2 linked regions of the Neodiprion lecontei genome follow. Each later gene encodes a partner of the first gene's protein in a complex. Links are inferred from orthologs where the notes say so. Each region holds a gene or a part of one and is shown in the gene's direction. Other genes may lie near its edges.

The links.
Region 2: cytoplasmic FMR1-interacting protein (region 1) and membrane-associated protein Hem share a complex: the UniProt entries of both Drosophila melanogaster proteins name them as parts of the WAVE complex. The link is inferred for Neodiprion lecontei from reciprocal best matches to the Drosophila melanogaster genes Cyfip and Hem.

What each region holds. Positions count from the first base shown.
Region 1 is NC_060265.1:7,519,392-7,526,959, reverse strand, and holds the start of cytoplasmic FMR1-interacting protein, read left to right. Parts: upstream 1-2,158; 5' UTR 2,159-2,252; intron 2,253-2,630; 5' UTR 2,631-2,649; coding exon 2,650-2,859; intron 2,860-2,940; coding exon 2,941-3,120; intron 3,121-3,226; coding exon 3,227-3,408; intron 3,409-3,516; coding exon 3,517-4,041; intron 4,042-4,145; coding exon 4,146-4,350; intron 4,351-4,475; coding exon 4,476-4,821; intron 4,822-4,922; coding exon 4,923-5,093; intron 5,094-5,211; coding exon 5,212-5,294; intron 5,295-5,535; coding exon 5,536-5,604; intron 5,605-6,207; coding exon 6,208-6,281; intron 6,282-6,371; coding exon 6,372-6,777; intron 6,778-6,858; coding exon 6,859-7,058; intron 7,059-7,129; coding exon 7,130-7,568. UniProt on the Drosophila melanogaster protein: Plays a role in guidance and morphology of central and peripheral axons and in synaptic morphology. Also required for formation of cell membrane protrusions and for bristle development.
Region 2 is NC_060262.1:26,025,623-26,034,427, reverse strand, and holds membrane-associated protein Hem, read left to right. Parts: upstream 1-3,223; 5' UTR 3,224-3,321; exon of another isoform or gene 3,322-3,397; intron 3,398-3,465; exon of another isoform or gene 3,466-3,476; 5' UTR 3,477-3,638; coding exon 3,639-7,007; 3' UTR 7,008-7,011; downstream 7,012-8,805. UniProt on the Drosophila melanogaster protein: Plays a role during growth of the oocyte.

The sequences.
Region 1 (7,568 bases):
GCAACTGATACATTGCATGAGCCATAGCTACTGATAATTTTTTATAGACGAAATTGTGGAATCATTTAGTACAGAAATTCACTTGAAAAATGCAAGCAGTAAATTTTCTCATTTGAAACAATTTTCCGGAAAGTACAGTAAAACTGTTTTTTTGTATATTTTATTCACGAACGGATCACAACAGAGAATTCATAAAACTAAAGAGCCAAATTCAAGCCACTATATCTAATATTTTTAGTCGAAAACCATATCACCTAAGCAGAATCACTTTTATAATATTACAGTTTTCAGTAGTGACAGCGTGATCGTTACTAAAAAATCTACTTTGATGTACCTATTAACGATTCTTGCCATTTATCGCGATATTTTTCGACCATATCTGGGGAATGTAACGCAAATATAGAACAGTTTTTGTTGATTTTATTCGGAATAAATTTTCAGGAAAATTTTTTGTTGTGCATTGCAACGAAAATCATTCAGAACCTAATTAACAATTATCCGTCTACATACACTTATAGAAGATAATGTGTACGTACAACTTTGAAAGCATGCTGCTGGTTCGTTTGATTTCGTTTATTTTGTTTCCACGCACGTGCAAGGGGTGTGAGATATATTGTTCCAACACTGTTTGTTGTTATTCAAATATTTGTACTTATAGTTTGCAGAGTGTACTAGGTTTTGTCTATAGTTGATAATAATAGTTTTTTAGCCATTAATTGTGTGATGTGTGAATAGAGGCCGATGGTACGCATTATAAACCGCTATTAACACTAGACAGTATATAGAAAAAATATCCAGAAGTGCAACGGATCGAACTATATGACAACCATCACGAATGTAATTAATTACGAAAGTTTGAAACATGAACACGTGTCTGTATGTCTCATATTTTGAACTACTGATCATAGTAGTTTTATAAAAAAAAAAAAAACAGTTTATCGTGTGGGTATCAATTCTGAGATACCAGCAGTAGAGCTAAACAAGGTACATTGGTGAAATTTTGATTCTATCTGTGTACCAGTTGGTGATTGCGTAGCAATGTTCATTGAGTAGTTGAAAACCAAACAAGAAAGTTATATTTAGTAAAGCAAGAATAAACACACGTGGCCAAGATAATCTAATAGATCCTAAAAATGAGACTTAGTCGTTGAGTTTGAACATTACAATTAAAAGAGATTCAATGCTTTTTTTAGATACATGAAAATTGTAGGGCATATGTCTACGATATTGATTGGGCAATTCATGAGTCTATGAGCATCATGACCTGTGGTGTGTGAAATTTGAAAAACATGGTCTTAGTTTTAAATTTACTTTGATGATATCAAAGCCATATTTTTGGAACGCTTTTATCTCTCGCATTTTATTATTATAATTACACACATGTAACGTTTCTCAATGTGATATTATTAAGGTTGCACATTTTAATAGTAATTAATTACTGAATTCATTTATTATTGATTTGAATATACGTTTATTTCTAATTTTCTCTACTCCTAATTTATTACTTTTGATTCTTTTAATTTTCACGCTATTGGAAAATATTCTCACTTTTTAATTTACCTCATCATTTAATATGCGCACACAATTTCATATTAATTTGATAACTGCAGTACACATATATATTTATATAGCGAGTTGTAGATAACAAATTTGGAGATATCCCTGAACATTGTAGATTCTATTAATTTCAACTTTTCTTTTATATTATTATTTCAACGTAATTGTTATTGCTATTTAATTTGTTGGTGCGAGAATGAATGAATAGTCAATAGAATTCTCTATCGAAACCGAGCCAGGTAAAAAAAAAAATGAAAAAATATGTGCAATTTTTTGAAAATTGTAAAATTATATTGTCATCCATATTGTAAATTATTTGTAATATAGAATAGAGGTTTATTATTATACATATAGATCTAATTATCCGTCTAAAAGACTTTCGAATAAATTTTAAAATTTACCCAACTCTAGGTTCTGGTTTATCAATTTCCTCCTTCCCGTGCCATATTTATCATTAGCTGTATTTCAATACTCACCAACGGTCCGTGTAGAACTGCTTCCTGCTGCTCTGTTTAAATTACATTTCACCATGCAGCTACGCGTGGGCCTTTTTTTCTCAGGGTTTGGTAGGAATGATAAATTCCCATGGAACAATGACTTTTCCCAGAAGTCTCTTGAGTACTCTTTACCTTGGGGTGGAGTTGTCGGGTGACGTTTGTTGTCAATTTTTTCAACTGTGACAAATTATTGTGAAGGTATGTCTTATGAATAAAATTCGTGAAATATTAAATAAAAAATTTCACATACCTGACACTGGCTTGTCTTTAATCACGTTAACCAAATGATTATTTCCCACTTTCATTTCCTTGTTTGATTACTCATCTTATAAATATAACCTCGACAACAAAGAGGACATTTACTGATCTTCCCAAGAGTAAACAGAGCTCGTCTGTTAAATAATTCGAGTGTATTTCAAACTTGCTATTAAAAAATACAATAATCTCTACGTTCTACCTAAATTTTATGTAGTCTACTTTTCCGAAATTGTATGTGCGCAATCTTTAGCTGCAATCTTTACACATATTAAATCCTTCGATTTGACGCTTTACACCTATTTTATAATTCAATTTTAGACTATAGCAAAACACAGCAATGGCTACCGATAAGGTAACATTGGCTGATGCTTTATCAAATGTCGATGTACTCGACGAATTTACCCTGCCTGATGAGCAGCCTTGCATTGAAGCCCAACCGTGCTCCGTTGTTTATCAAGCTAATTTTGATACAAATTTTGAAGATAGAAATGGGTTTGTCACTGGTATTGCCAAGTACATTGAAGAGGCAACTGTACACGCTAGTTTGGTAAATTTATTCAGTTCACATTATGATCAACCCTATAATAGTTGGATAATTACTGTTATTTTCTTTATTTTTTACCTACAGAACGAACTACTCGAAGAAGGTCTAGAGCATGCGGTAATGTTATATACCTGGAGATGTTGTTCTCGAGCAATTCCTCAACCAAAATCCAATGAGCAGCCAAATCGTGTTGAAATATATGAGAAAACAGTTGAGGTCTTAGCACCTGAAGTGAACAAGTTGCTGAACTTTATGTATTTTCAAGTGGGTGATTTTTTATCCTAACTAAAATACAGAAGCTACAAATTTAATATACATCATAAATGAAAATGGAAAATAGTTATAATCATATTTCTCTTTGTTAAATCAGAGAAAAGCTATTGAAAGGTTTTCTGCTGAAGTTAAGCGCTTGTGTCACCATGAGAAGCGAAAGGATTTTGTCTCTGAAGCATACCTACTAACTCTTGGAAAATTCATTAATATGTTTGCTGTTCTCGATGAATTAAAAAATATGAAATCGAGTGTTAAGAATGATTATTCAACGTACAGAAGGTATGGGTATATATACTTTAAGCAAAAGTAAACAGTTAAAAGTTGAGAACAATCTCTAATCAATATTAACAATTTATTTGTATCACCAACTACATTATTTTATTTCAGAGCTGCTCAGTTTTTGAAAGTAATGACTGATTCGCAAACTCTTCAAGAGTCTCAGAATTTGTCATTGTTTCTGGCAACGCAAAATAAAATTCGTGACACCGTAAAAGAAAATCTAGAGAAAATTGCTGGGTATGAAGAGCTTCTAGCAGATGTAGTTAATATTTGTGTACACATGTTCGAAACGAAGATGTATTTAACACCAAATGAAAAGCACATGCTTGTTAAGGTCATGGGCTTTGGGTTATTTCTGATGGACAGTGACTTGTGTAACATTAATAAGTTGGATCAAAAAAAGAAGTTGAAACTAGACAGGATTGATAGAATATTTAAAAACTTGGAGGTCGTACCACTGTTTGGAGATATGCAAATTGCTCCCTTCAATTACATCAAACGGTCGAAGCACTTCGACTCTTCAAAGTGGCCACTTTCATCTTCTTCTAACAGTATGAGTCCACAAGCAGATCTTATGGTACACCTTCCTCAAATCAGAGAAGATCACGTCAAATACATCAGCGAATTGGCGAGGTATTACTCATAATATCAACACTGAACGTACACGATTATTCAATTTTGGAAAGTCTTCATACTTACGTTTGTATTTATAATAATCCATTTAACTTTCTGTTCAGGTACAGTAATGAAGTAACAACAACGTATAAGGAGTGTGGAAGTGATGGGGAAAATAGAGAAACAGCTGAATTGGCATTGCGAGGATTACAACTGTTATCGCAGTGGACCAGCGTTGTTACAGAACTGTATAGCTGGAAATTACTTCATCCTACGGACCATCACATGAATAAAGAATGTCCGCAAGAAGCTGAAGAGTATGAACGGGTTGGTAAAGTTCTAAAATTAAATTGATAATATGTTTCACATTCTTAGCCAACCGTCGTATTAATAATTAATCGACTACCTGCAATCCAAGCAAGGTCAATGAATAACAAGTTCAATTTCTGTAGGCAACCCGATACAATTACACAGATGAAGAAAAGTTTGCTCTGATTGAAGTTATAGCTATGATCAAGGGCCTGCAAGTTCTGATGGCTCGCATGGAAACTGTCTTTATCGATGCTATACGCAGAAACATTTACGCTGAACTACAGGACTTTGTACAATTGATTTTAAGAGAACCACTCAGAAAGGCTACCAAGAATAAAAAAGATTTGATTCGAAGTATAATTGTATCGGTCCGAGAGACTTGTGCAGATTGGCAAAAAGGCGTTGAACCTGTAGCGGACCCAGCTTTAAAGGGCAAAAAAGATCCAGACAATGGTTTTGTCATTAAAGTTCCAAGAAGAAATGTTGGTAAGTTTGGTTCACACATTTTTTTGCAATTATAAATATTACTAAGATATTGATTCGTGGCCATTGTACACATAATGAGATTTATTCCGAATTGTTTGAAGGTCCATCATCGACTCAATTGTACATGGTACGTACGATGTTGGAGTCACTAATTGCAGATAAGAGCGGAGGTAAGAGAACGCTGAGAAAGGATATAGATGGGCAATATCTCGTGCAGATCGATCAATTTCATAAAACAAGTTTTTACTGGAATTACTTGCTTAGTTTTAGCGGTAAGTCACTCGTATGTACAACTGTATGTACACGCTGTATCATTTCATATTTTGAACTACAAAACGTATATTGTTATCATTTTACCTTTTTACTGTCAATTAATAACTCTTATTCCAGAGTCATTGCAGAACTGCTGTGATCTATCACAACTCTGGTACCGTGAATTCTACCTTGAGATGACCATGGGCCGGAGGATTCAGGTAAACATAAATATTAGAAAACTACTATATAACAAGACCTAATAATTAATCACGCGATTTGAAAGCCGACGTGCCATAATTGACTATTTTTAAAGAGTCAGTCACCATTCTGTTTAATTATAGTTGATAAAATACTGGTATCGATTCACTAGACCTACACAATATATTCAATGTTAGTAGATGTTCATGACCTTCACAATATCAGACAAATAGAACCGTGTGTAATTGATTTCATGAATAGAAATGCCAAGTGCGTCATCAGCATAATGAAGAATGCAGCGACTTGATCACCATGGAGAAACGCATTCAGGTACACACCAAGTAACCACCATCTGTTGTAGCTACGTTATTGTTATTGTTGCGTTCGTTTTCTAGTACCGTTTTTTGTTGGAATTGCACGCCTCACTGGGAAATACCATAAGTAATAGTAATTTAATTTGAATAAACCAATTATTATACCTCTGACTCAAAATGGGTGATTGCTTGATCAAATTTTCTGCTTCGTACATGCGTTCATGGTATCTTATTTCTATTGACAAAAGTTTACTGCAAGAAGAATTATCCAAACAAGTAATGTGATTGTTATGCTATTTGAGGTAATAGTAGGTATAACGAAGTGGATGATTTTAAAAATAGATTAATTTGAATACTCATCTGCAACTCCGTATACATACATTAAATATTATAATGTACAGTGATTTTAAATGAAATGATAATACGTACTGTGCCAAGGCTCTACACAATAATTCTTGGACGTAGATCTTGATTTTTTAGCTTGCATCATTTCGTGTTGGTTGCTGTGCTGTCTTTGCCACTATAAATTAATCTTTCTTTTATTTTGTGTGCAAAATGTTACTAACATTGGATTAGAAACACCATTTAAAGTTAAATTAAATGAATTTTTATGTTCCAGTTCCCGATTGAAATGTCGATGCCATGGATCCTGACTGACCATATTCTTAGAAGCAAAGAACCTTCAATGATGGAGTGAGTGAGATTACTGTAAAATTTCCAGTAGATTTTGTCTTTGAAATTAATCATTGACCTACGTCAACTGTTCATGCTTTTAAATTCCAGATTCGTATTGTACCCTTTGGATCTGTACAACGACAGTGCATTATACGCGTTAACAATATTTCGAAAGCAATTCCTTTATGATGAAGTTGAGGCAGAAGTAAACCTATGCTTTGACCAATTCGTCTACAAGCTAAGTGAACAAATTTTCGCTCATTACAAGCAATTGGCAGCCAGCATTTTGCTTGATAAGAGATTTCGCGTTGAATGCGTTGCTCTTGGGGCTTACTTACTGCCATATCCTCGAGCAAACAGATATGAAACATTATTAAAACAACGGCACGTACAACTGTTAGGAAGAAGCATTGATCTCAATAAGTTGATCACACAACGAATCAATGCTGATATGCAAAAATCTTTGGATTTGGCTGTTAGCAAATTCGAATCTGGTGATATTACAGGTGTTGTGGTAAGCCAAAGTTTTGCGAGTCAATTATCACATTTTTCTAGCTGATCGACTGCTCTTTATACCAAACTTTTTATTGTGTAGGAATTAGAAGGTTTGCTACAAGTCAACCGCCTCACTCATAAACTTTTGAGCAAATGGTTGGCATTGGATGAATATGATGCAATGTTCAGAGAAGCTAATCACAACGTTCTTGCCCCATATGGTAGAATTACTCTTCACGTATTTTGGGAGCTAAATTATGACTTCTTGCCAAATTACTGTTACAATGCTGCCACAAATAGGTATATTCATATCAATGTTGCGAATATTACCTTACGAACATGTTGTCATTATTTCGTATTTCCTTCAACAGATTTGTCAAATGTCGAGGTCTTCAATTTGCACAACCGGTGCACAGAGATAAGCCACCTATGATGTCTTACCATTATTTATGGGGCAGTAAACAATTAAATCTTGCATATAGCACTCAGTATGGTCAATACACGGGCTTTGTTGGCTCATACCACTTCCGTACAATGTGCAAACTTCTTGGATATCAAGGGATTGCTGTAGTCATGGAAGAATTATTAAAAATAGTGAAATCTCTCATCCAAGGAAACCTCCTGCAGTTTACTAAGACCCTAATGGAAGCAATGCCAAAAGTGTGTAAACTCCCGAGATATGATTACGGATCTCCAGGTGTTTTAGGCTACTACCATGCCCAGTTGAACGACATTGTTCAGTATCCTGATGCAAAGACTGAACTGTTTCACAACTTTCGCGAATTTGGCAACACTATATTATTCTGTCTA
Region 2 (8,805 bases), on another chromosome or scaffold:
GACTCTGGAGAGCCTTTAATCCGGACGCCGTTATATCGGCCGATGTAGGTACAACCCTTCGGCCTCAACTCGGGACCCGCAGCAGGACCCTGATCTGCCTTTGGGGTTGAAACCTTCGCTCGTAATCGGGCGCAAGCCGAGTGTCTACGATTCGTCCAATTATCGGTTGGCACCAAAAGTGCTGGGTCTGGTGTGCCTGCCAAATGGGAAATGGTCGGGTAACTGTTGCAAGGGCGTCCGTCGCGGAGTCGAACTACCATGACACCCATCTACGGACGGCGTATATACAGGCAATATCCTATGGACTGTGGCCGAGTACGGGCCATGGACTGTCTGCATAAAGAAGGTAGGGGTGAAGCTTTTACAAATACGTATGTGCCGTGGAACGAAGCGGCCAAATGGCCAAAGGGTGATTCTCTCCTGCGAAGAGAAAGAAGAAGAGGAGGAGCTGCGAACGGGGGTTGAAAAAAACAGCGAATAACTATATACGTATACCGTATAGGAGAAGAGATAGCCGACACTGGACATCTCCTTTACGCTCGCCGGTCGGCGCCCCGAGACTGGTAAATGACGTCATTAACGAGACTAAAGTGCTGACGCGTCGGGACCACCCCTTCCTGAGCCCCATCACCCTCTTGGATCCTCTCTTGCCTAGTCCGCACCAGCCATCCCGAAGCCGCACCGTTCAAGATCGATGCGTCGATATCCGACTCTTTGACTGTGTCTGCTGCCCTAACAACCAGACGGAACGTCATGAAATCGAAATCTGTGTCGCAGCTTCCTACATCGGGTTCTGTAATAATCCCCCGATCGTTGCTGTCGGAAAGCCAACCCTTCAGACTGCAACTTCGCTCTGGGCGAAGATTATCCGACTACGATGTCATCGACGCTATAACGCGAAAACCGTTCAACCGTTTTCTATACTGTATAAGATCCAGGGTCCAGTGAACTGCAAGGGTGAAAACTTCTACATTTTATAAATGTCCCTGAACCGCGTGGTATATTTTTTCTTCGCAGAACGCTCATTATCGGAATTACTGATGCAGCAAATAATTATTTGATACATCGCATGATTCAAAGAATGAAATTCTATTTCACACGGTAAAACTTATGGAAATCCTACGCTGCATACAACTGCATCTGGCCGTTGCTCCTAATTAGAAGTAAAGCGTGTTGGATCAGATTTTTCGGGACAAGATGTCCGGTTGAAAAATGCAACAAACCAGATAGGATGCAGCCGGGAAACGGGTAAGCAAACGGGTTTAATTATCCCGCGGCCTCCTAACGTGCAATTAATTCCGAATGCGGTTTAGTTTAGTGAACGAAGAGCAAACAATGTATTACCCTCCCAACCACCTAAACGTAGGTGGTTTCAGGGTGGAGGCCACTTTGCGCAAATAGCATGGATCTGCAGATAGTGCAACCTCTCCTCCTCTCCCCCTATCCTCCTCCAGCCGGCAACTACGAACCCTTAACATCCCTCACCCTTTCCCCTCATTCTCCTATCTTCCCCCCTAGCCAAGGTTAATGCTCCGTGAATTTTGTGATTGCTCCGAATGAAAATCTACCTGTCCGAGTCACGTCAACATGGATTAAACAGGAAACTAGAGATGTGGAAAAATTTTCACTAAATTAGTATACATGTACGATGGAATGTGTACTTATGGGAAAAAATGAGTAGTGCAAAGTAATTTAGAGTAATTGAAACATCGTCAGGAAAGAAAAAAAACTGATTAACGAGAAAGCAAAATTGCTATAATAATTTTTAAATACCGCAGCCAATCAATCTCGTTCGATCGTTACCATAAATCGTACTTCTGGTAATAAAATCGAAGTCAGTAACCGCAATATGTCTTGCAATTTCATATGTCCACACTTGCGCGGAAAATTTCAAGTATAGAACATACGATATAGTTTCAACGATTTAAACGTGCGGCAGCGATCGTTGTTACTGTACTCGGACGTCTCTCGATTGCTGGTTGGTTAGGGAGTAGTGAACGGATTGTAATATATTTGTGCCGGTTTTAATAGGTTTCTGGCACGTCGATATTCGATGAACGAGGCCATAGGGAAGCCAGCGCCTATATACGGATATACGTAGGTAATTTCTGTAGAGGTTCTTAATGTACGGTAATACCGTAGCGTAAGGTGCATGGAGCTGTGGCTTGAAACTTTAACACGCTAAGGCCCGGCAGCTGAGAACCCATCCCTATAACGCAGAACTTGCATGGAAACTATATTCAGATTTATTGCAGTAGGCTTAGAAATCGATCTTGCTGCTCATGAATAATAATATTTATTTCTGCAACCAGTATTCTCTCAGCACCATCACAACACATATGACGGACCTGTACGTTGCCAGAAGGGTTTTACTTCAACATCTTTTTCGTGTCTCTGAAATTCATTTAGGGAAATAGCAAAAATAATTTCACCTCAATGGAGTGCGTATATTTTTTTCTCAAGCTTTTCATTCTTCACATCTTTGTATAAAGATTCATTCATCTAATTTTTGTACATAACAATGCCAATAAGATTTTTCAACGGATGTTCTTGTGATTCCTAAAAACCCTTTCCTCGATTCGTTTCTATTTTATGTCCGAGTATTTCAATCACGTTTTGGTATGAACATTCTGGTGAATTTTTGATTTTTTTTTTTATTATTGTCATAAAATATTATTCACTTTTTTCACACCAGCTACTGAAATCTTAAAGCCAGCGTGCGGCGTGGCGGAACAACGGGATAGAAGATCCTCTTGTGTACAGACAACTGACCACATCGACCAAGCTTTAAAGACCAGTTAGAAACGAGTCAGTGAACAACAGTAGTGCTATGTGTACAATGGAAACTTAAACCCGCTCAATATTTGTGTGCGAAAGTAAACAATTAATAATTACAAGCTTTGTTGAGAACGCATGGACTCGAATCCAGTTACAAGACAAACTTCTGATTGCGAACTTATGGAAGTAATGTGAATTGCCTATGCTCAGGCGGATACTATTTCACTGCGAGTTCATAAGGCGGAAAAATACGTAAAGATGTAGCATATCCACAGTTACATAACAATACTCTGTGATACGCCGTAATATGGAATTGCACTGTGCACTTTTTGACGCGTGATGGATTTTGTCTTCAAAATACTCTCATTAACGTATTCGGTATGGTCATATGGTTTGCCCCTTCTCTCGGTTGGTAAAAGCGATTCATACCGACTGCCTGCGCGAGATTGAGGAACCTAGTGAGGAATATTTCCCCACACAGCAGTTGGATGCAGTGAACAAGAGAGCGCCGCAGCTGAGTTTAAGGACTGATAACTTAAAGTGGTGAGTAAGTTTACACATCGATGTGTAGTGGGTGTTAATAATTTTGTGACAATGTTGCAATGAAATGATAAATTTGGTAAGAAAACATTTCACTTCGTTGTACAACCGTCAAAAAAGCTCACTCGAGTTAGTATAATCGATCAGTTATATTTCAGAAATCGCTGTGCGCCGAAATTACGTTGGAAATCCTGTCAAGCCTACAAGCTACCCCTGGGTGGGGTCTCCTGTCATCCGGAAACACAGTTGACACTTGGTTCAATAAATTATGAGGCGATTCTACTGATTCACCGCCGTTCATTGACAAGCAGGCCACGAATATGGCGCGACCAATTATTCCTAGCCAGCAGAAGCTGGCTGAGAAACTGGCTATATTGAACGACAGAGGCACCGGTATGCTTACTCGTATTTACAACATAAAAAAAGCATGCGGCGATGCCAAATCCAAGCCTGCGTTTCTGTCCGACAAAACGTTGGAGTCTGCGATTAAATACATAATCCGAAGATTTCCCAATATCGACATCAAGGGACTGGCTGCGATAACGAACCTTCGCACCGAGATTATCAAGTCTCTGTCCCTCTACTACTACACCTTTGTTGACCTTCTTGACTTCAAGGACAACGTCTGTGAACTGCTGACTACGATGGACGCTTGCGGAGTTCACATGGACATAACGATAAATTTTGACGTGACAAAGGGCTACCTGGACCTGGTAATCACCTACGTAAGCCTGATGATACTTCTGTCCAGAGTTGAGGATCGAAAAGCTGTCTTAGGCCTGTTCAACGCGGCCCACGAAATGGTCCACAGCCAGTCAGATCCCAGCTTTCCGAGACTAGGCCAGATGATCATGGACTACGATGCGCCGCTCAAGAAATTGTCCGAAGAGTTTGTGCCGCATGGTAAATTACTGATAAATGCGCTGATGTCGCTGTGGCCAATTTACCCTGGAAGAAATTTATCGGCAGACACATGGAGAGCCGACAAGAAACTTAGCCTCGTCGGTAGTCCAGGGCAGCTGCTTAAAGCTGCCGTTACGGACACGATGTCCTGTGAAACGTTGAGCTTAGATAGATTAGAAAGATGGGTTGTCCTCGGTTTCACTCTTTGTCACACGGTCCTCAACCAGGAGCAACCCAGTAAACTATGGACCACCGCCCTCGAATCAGGATGGGTTTTAGCTCTGTTTAGAGACGAAGTCATATATATTCACCAATACATTCAGTCGTTTTTTGAAAGCATGAAAGGGTACAGCAAGAGAGTATCTGAAGTGAAGGACTGCTACAGTCAAGCCATTCAGAAAGCTGGACACAGGCATCGAGAAAGGCGAAAATTTTTGAGAACAGCCCTGAAGGAGTTGGGGCTGATATTATCCGATCATCCAGGGCTCTTGGGCCCAAAAGCTCTGCTAGTGTTCATGGGATTATCTCATGCCCGAGACGAGGTGCTGTGGCTCTTGAGACACGGTGACAATCCACCTATTCAGGGAAAAGGAAAGGGTCGTGGAGGCGATGACCTCGTCGACAGGCAGCTCCCTGAACTCTTGTTTCACTGCGAGGAATTGCGCGCTCTTGTTAGAAAGTATTCCCAAGTCCTGCAACGATATTACGTCCAATTTTTGGCTGGATTTGACGCACCAGCTCTGCATCAAATGATACAAAATTTGCCTGTGTGTCCTGAGGATGAAGGAGCCATTCTGAGCGACATGTGCTCTTCAATTGCGAGTTTAACAGTAAAACAGGTCGAGGATAACGAGTTGTTTGATTTTCGTGCATTCAGGCTTGACTGGTTTAGATTGCAGGCTTATATGTCGGTTGCAAAGTGCAATATGAATCTCGCGGATAACAGGGAATTGGCTTCGTTTATGGACGGTATTATTTTTCACACCAAAATGGTTGACAATTTAGACGAGATGTTGGTGGAAACTTCCGATCTCTCGATATTTTGCTTTTACAGCAAGATATTCGAAGATCAATTTCACATGTGTTTAGAATTTCCTGCCCAGAATCGATACATTGTTGCTTTTCCATTGATGTGTAGCCATTTTCAAAGCTGTACGCATGAACTTTGCCCCGAAGAACGTCATCATATCAGAGAAAGAAGTCTGTCTGTTGTTAACATGTTTTTGGACGAAATGGCCAAAGAGGCTAAAAATATAATAACCATAATTTGCGACGAGCAGTGTACAATGTCAGATAAGCTTCTGCCTAAGCACTGTGCAGCGCAAATATCTCAAGTAGTGAATCGCAAGAAAAAAGATAAGAACAAGAAAAATATGTACGAGATTCATAAACCCGGTATTGAAAGCTACAGAAAAACGCGAGAAGACCTTACGACAATGGACAAACTTCACATGGCTCTAACAGAATTGTGTTTCGCAATAAATTCTTGCCCCACCATCAATGTGTGGGAATATACATTTGCTCCTAGGGAGTACTTACATCAACACTTGGAAACACGATTCGCCAAAGCTTTAGTTGGTATGGTGATGTTCAATCCGGATACTAGCGTCATTGCTAAACCATCAGAGTTATTTGTCAGCGTTAGAGCTTACATGAATGTATTGCAAACTGTCGAAAACTACGTTCACATCGATATAACTAGAGTTTTTAATAATGCTTTGTTGCAACAAACTCAACAGCTCGATAGCCACGGGGACAAAACTATAGCTTCGTTGTACATGCAGTGGTACTCCGAAGTGTTGTTGAGACGAGTAAGCGCAGGAAACATTTGCTATTCAGGAAATCAAAGAGCATTCGTCAGCCTCACAGCCGAGAGTGCGATTCCCTTCAACGCTGAGGAATTTTCTGATATCAACGAACTCAGGGCTCTTGCCGAACTGATTGGACCTTACGGTATGAAAATGTTGAATGAAACACTGATGTGGCACATCGCGAGTCAGGTGCAAGAACTGAAAAAATTAGTAGCTGGTAATAAGGACGTCTTAGTTGCATTGAGAACGAATTTTGATAAGCCTGAAGTGATGAAGGAACAATTCAAAAGGCTACAGCAAGTCGACAATGTTCTTCAAAGGGTTACAATAGTTGGGGTGATTTTGAGCTTCAGACAATTAGCCCAGGCAGCTTTGGTCGACGTTTTGGAGGAGCGGATTCCATTTTTGCTCAGCTCTATATTAGACTTTCGGCACCACTTGCCTTCGGGCGATCCGATGAGGATTGTTTCCGAAATGACATCTGCTGCGGGGCTGACGTGCAAAGTTGATCCAACCCTAGCAGCAGCTTTGAGGAGTCAAAAAGCTGAAGCAGATGAAGACGAGCATCTTTTAGTCTGTTTGTTAATGGTATTCGTCGCTGTTTCCATTCCGAAATTAGCTCGCAACGAAAACTCGTTCTATAGGGCTTCATTGGAGGGGCATTCTAACAATATACATTGCATGGCCACTGCCATAAACAATATATTCGGTGCACTGTTCACGATATGTGGTCAAAACGACATTGAAGACAGAATGAAGGAGTTCTTGGCACTGGCATCATCCAGTCTTTTGAGATTAGGGCAGGAGGCAGACAAAGAGGCAACAAAGAATAGAGAATCTGTGTACCTTCTCCTCGATCAGATCGTTCAAGAATCACCCTTTCTAACCATGGATTTATTGGAGAGCTGTTTCCCATATGCGTTAATACGTAATGCTTATCACGATGTGTATAAAATGGGTCAAGCACAGCAATAACGATGCTTGGAAATAAACAAGGATTGCGAGTATTTTCTTACTGTCTAAGCTTGCCGTGAATCGAAGGTAGTTTCATAATAGTATATGTATATGTTATTCGGTAAGTCGAACTCTGAGACGCGTATTTCCATAAACTGATTATTTTCGATAGTGTAATATTATCTCTAGAATATCGTGTACACTTAATAGTGGTATTAGTTTGTTTGAGGCTACCTGATTTTAATATTAAAACCAGTAGAGCCAATCAGGAAATATTTTTTATTTTATACGCATATGTAAATCAAAGTACCTCTGATCCAAATCTTGTATTGGCTCTAGGAAACGAATTGTAATAGATAGATTGAGTAATGCCGATATTTATAGGACGTAGTTTATTGTAATTTTGTAACGTAAACAGAAATGAATCGAGCGATAACATTCTTTTTAATTAAAACTAGCTGGATACTATTTGAACATCAAAATCTTGGAAAGAATGCGACTTGCGCAATCTTTTTATTTCATTTTTCAATAGAATAGCTTGTAAGTTCTTTATTTTTTCAATATTTTATTGATTCTTCATAAGCTGCAGTACAAATGCAGTTTATATTTATACGTATTTACAACATATTGTATAATTGTTGTATTATATGTATGGTACGATACATTTATCATTTAACAATAAGCTAATGTTTTTATTGGAAATTGTAACTATTTTGAAATAGTTTATATCTATACTGATAATAAAGTCAATCATCTCTACGTTCGTTGAAAATACATCAAGCCAAATTATATCTCCGTGTAAAGGGTTGGCTTGTCTTTGTAATAAGAATATACGGGACAATTAATGTACATTAATCAGCTTTTCGGAATATTTAAATATCTAAGTACGCTAATTGCCGATCAATTATCCGATAACCATTTGATTTTTACCTACGTTTATCGTAAAATTCGTTAGCGGTAGATTCGAATATCTTTCGTCCCGCGCATTGGTGTACTCGTAAAAAAAGCGTCGTATTTTGTTTCAAAACATTTATTAACCAGCTAATCTGGAAAATTTTAAGGAATGATGAAAATGAAATCGTTCGAAATATTTCTCCTTAATCACAACGCTGTTTTGGAAAAAGCGTCTTCAGTCAACGATCTATCTAAGCTCGATGATCATGATTTCAAGTGATTTCGATTGTGAATCACGGCTCCCCTTCCACAGCTTCCACAGCTGTTTTGAGTCACGTGACCGCGCTGCTCTGTCCATACACGAGGAATTGATATATCACACCAAGATCGGAGGTCGGGTTGTTGCGAAATATGAATGTGATCGGATAACGACTCAGCCGTATGACGCGCTATGTTGTCTAATTACTATGGTACTCTCAGGAGGACTTCCTCAGGGATATATAGGTATATGCTCGTTCGAGTCGCCCGGCAACAATTTCGAACAGATTAATCGTACCGACGTCATCACGTCGCGACCGTAGCTGTCGGTGACGCATTCTCGGCCGCAGTCACTCGGCGAGTTGTGGTTGGAAAATTTGATTACTGTTAGTTTAAATCAGTTGCCGACGGGCTCGTGTTCGTGGGATGTGGATATATTATAAAGGAGTCGTTGACGGGTAGAAAGGAAGAGAAACCCATTCGGCAGGAGCCGAACATGTGATACGAGCAAGTGACAAATATGTGATAGTGTGGATTAAATCACGTTTAACCAAATGTCTAGTCACTAATACCAGCTATACCTAATAAACGGCCAAATTATTAATTCGTGAGTACAATAGATTTAATGTAAGCCTTATGCATAAACTGGTTTGTATTTTCATATTTA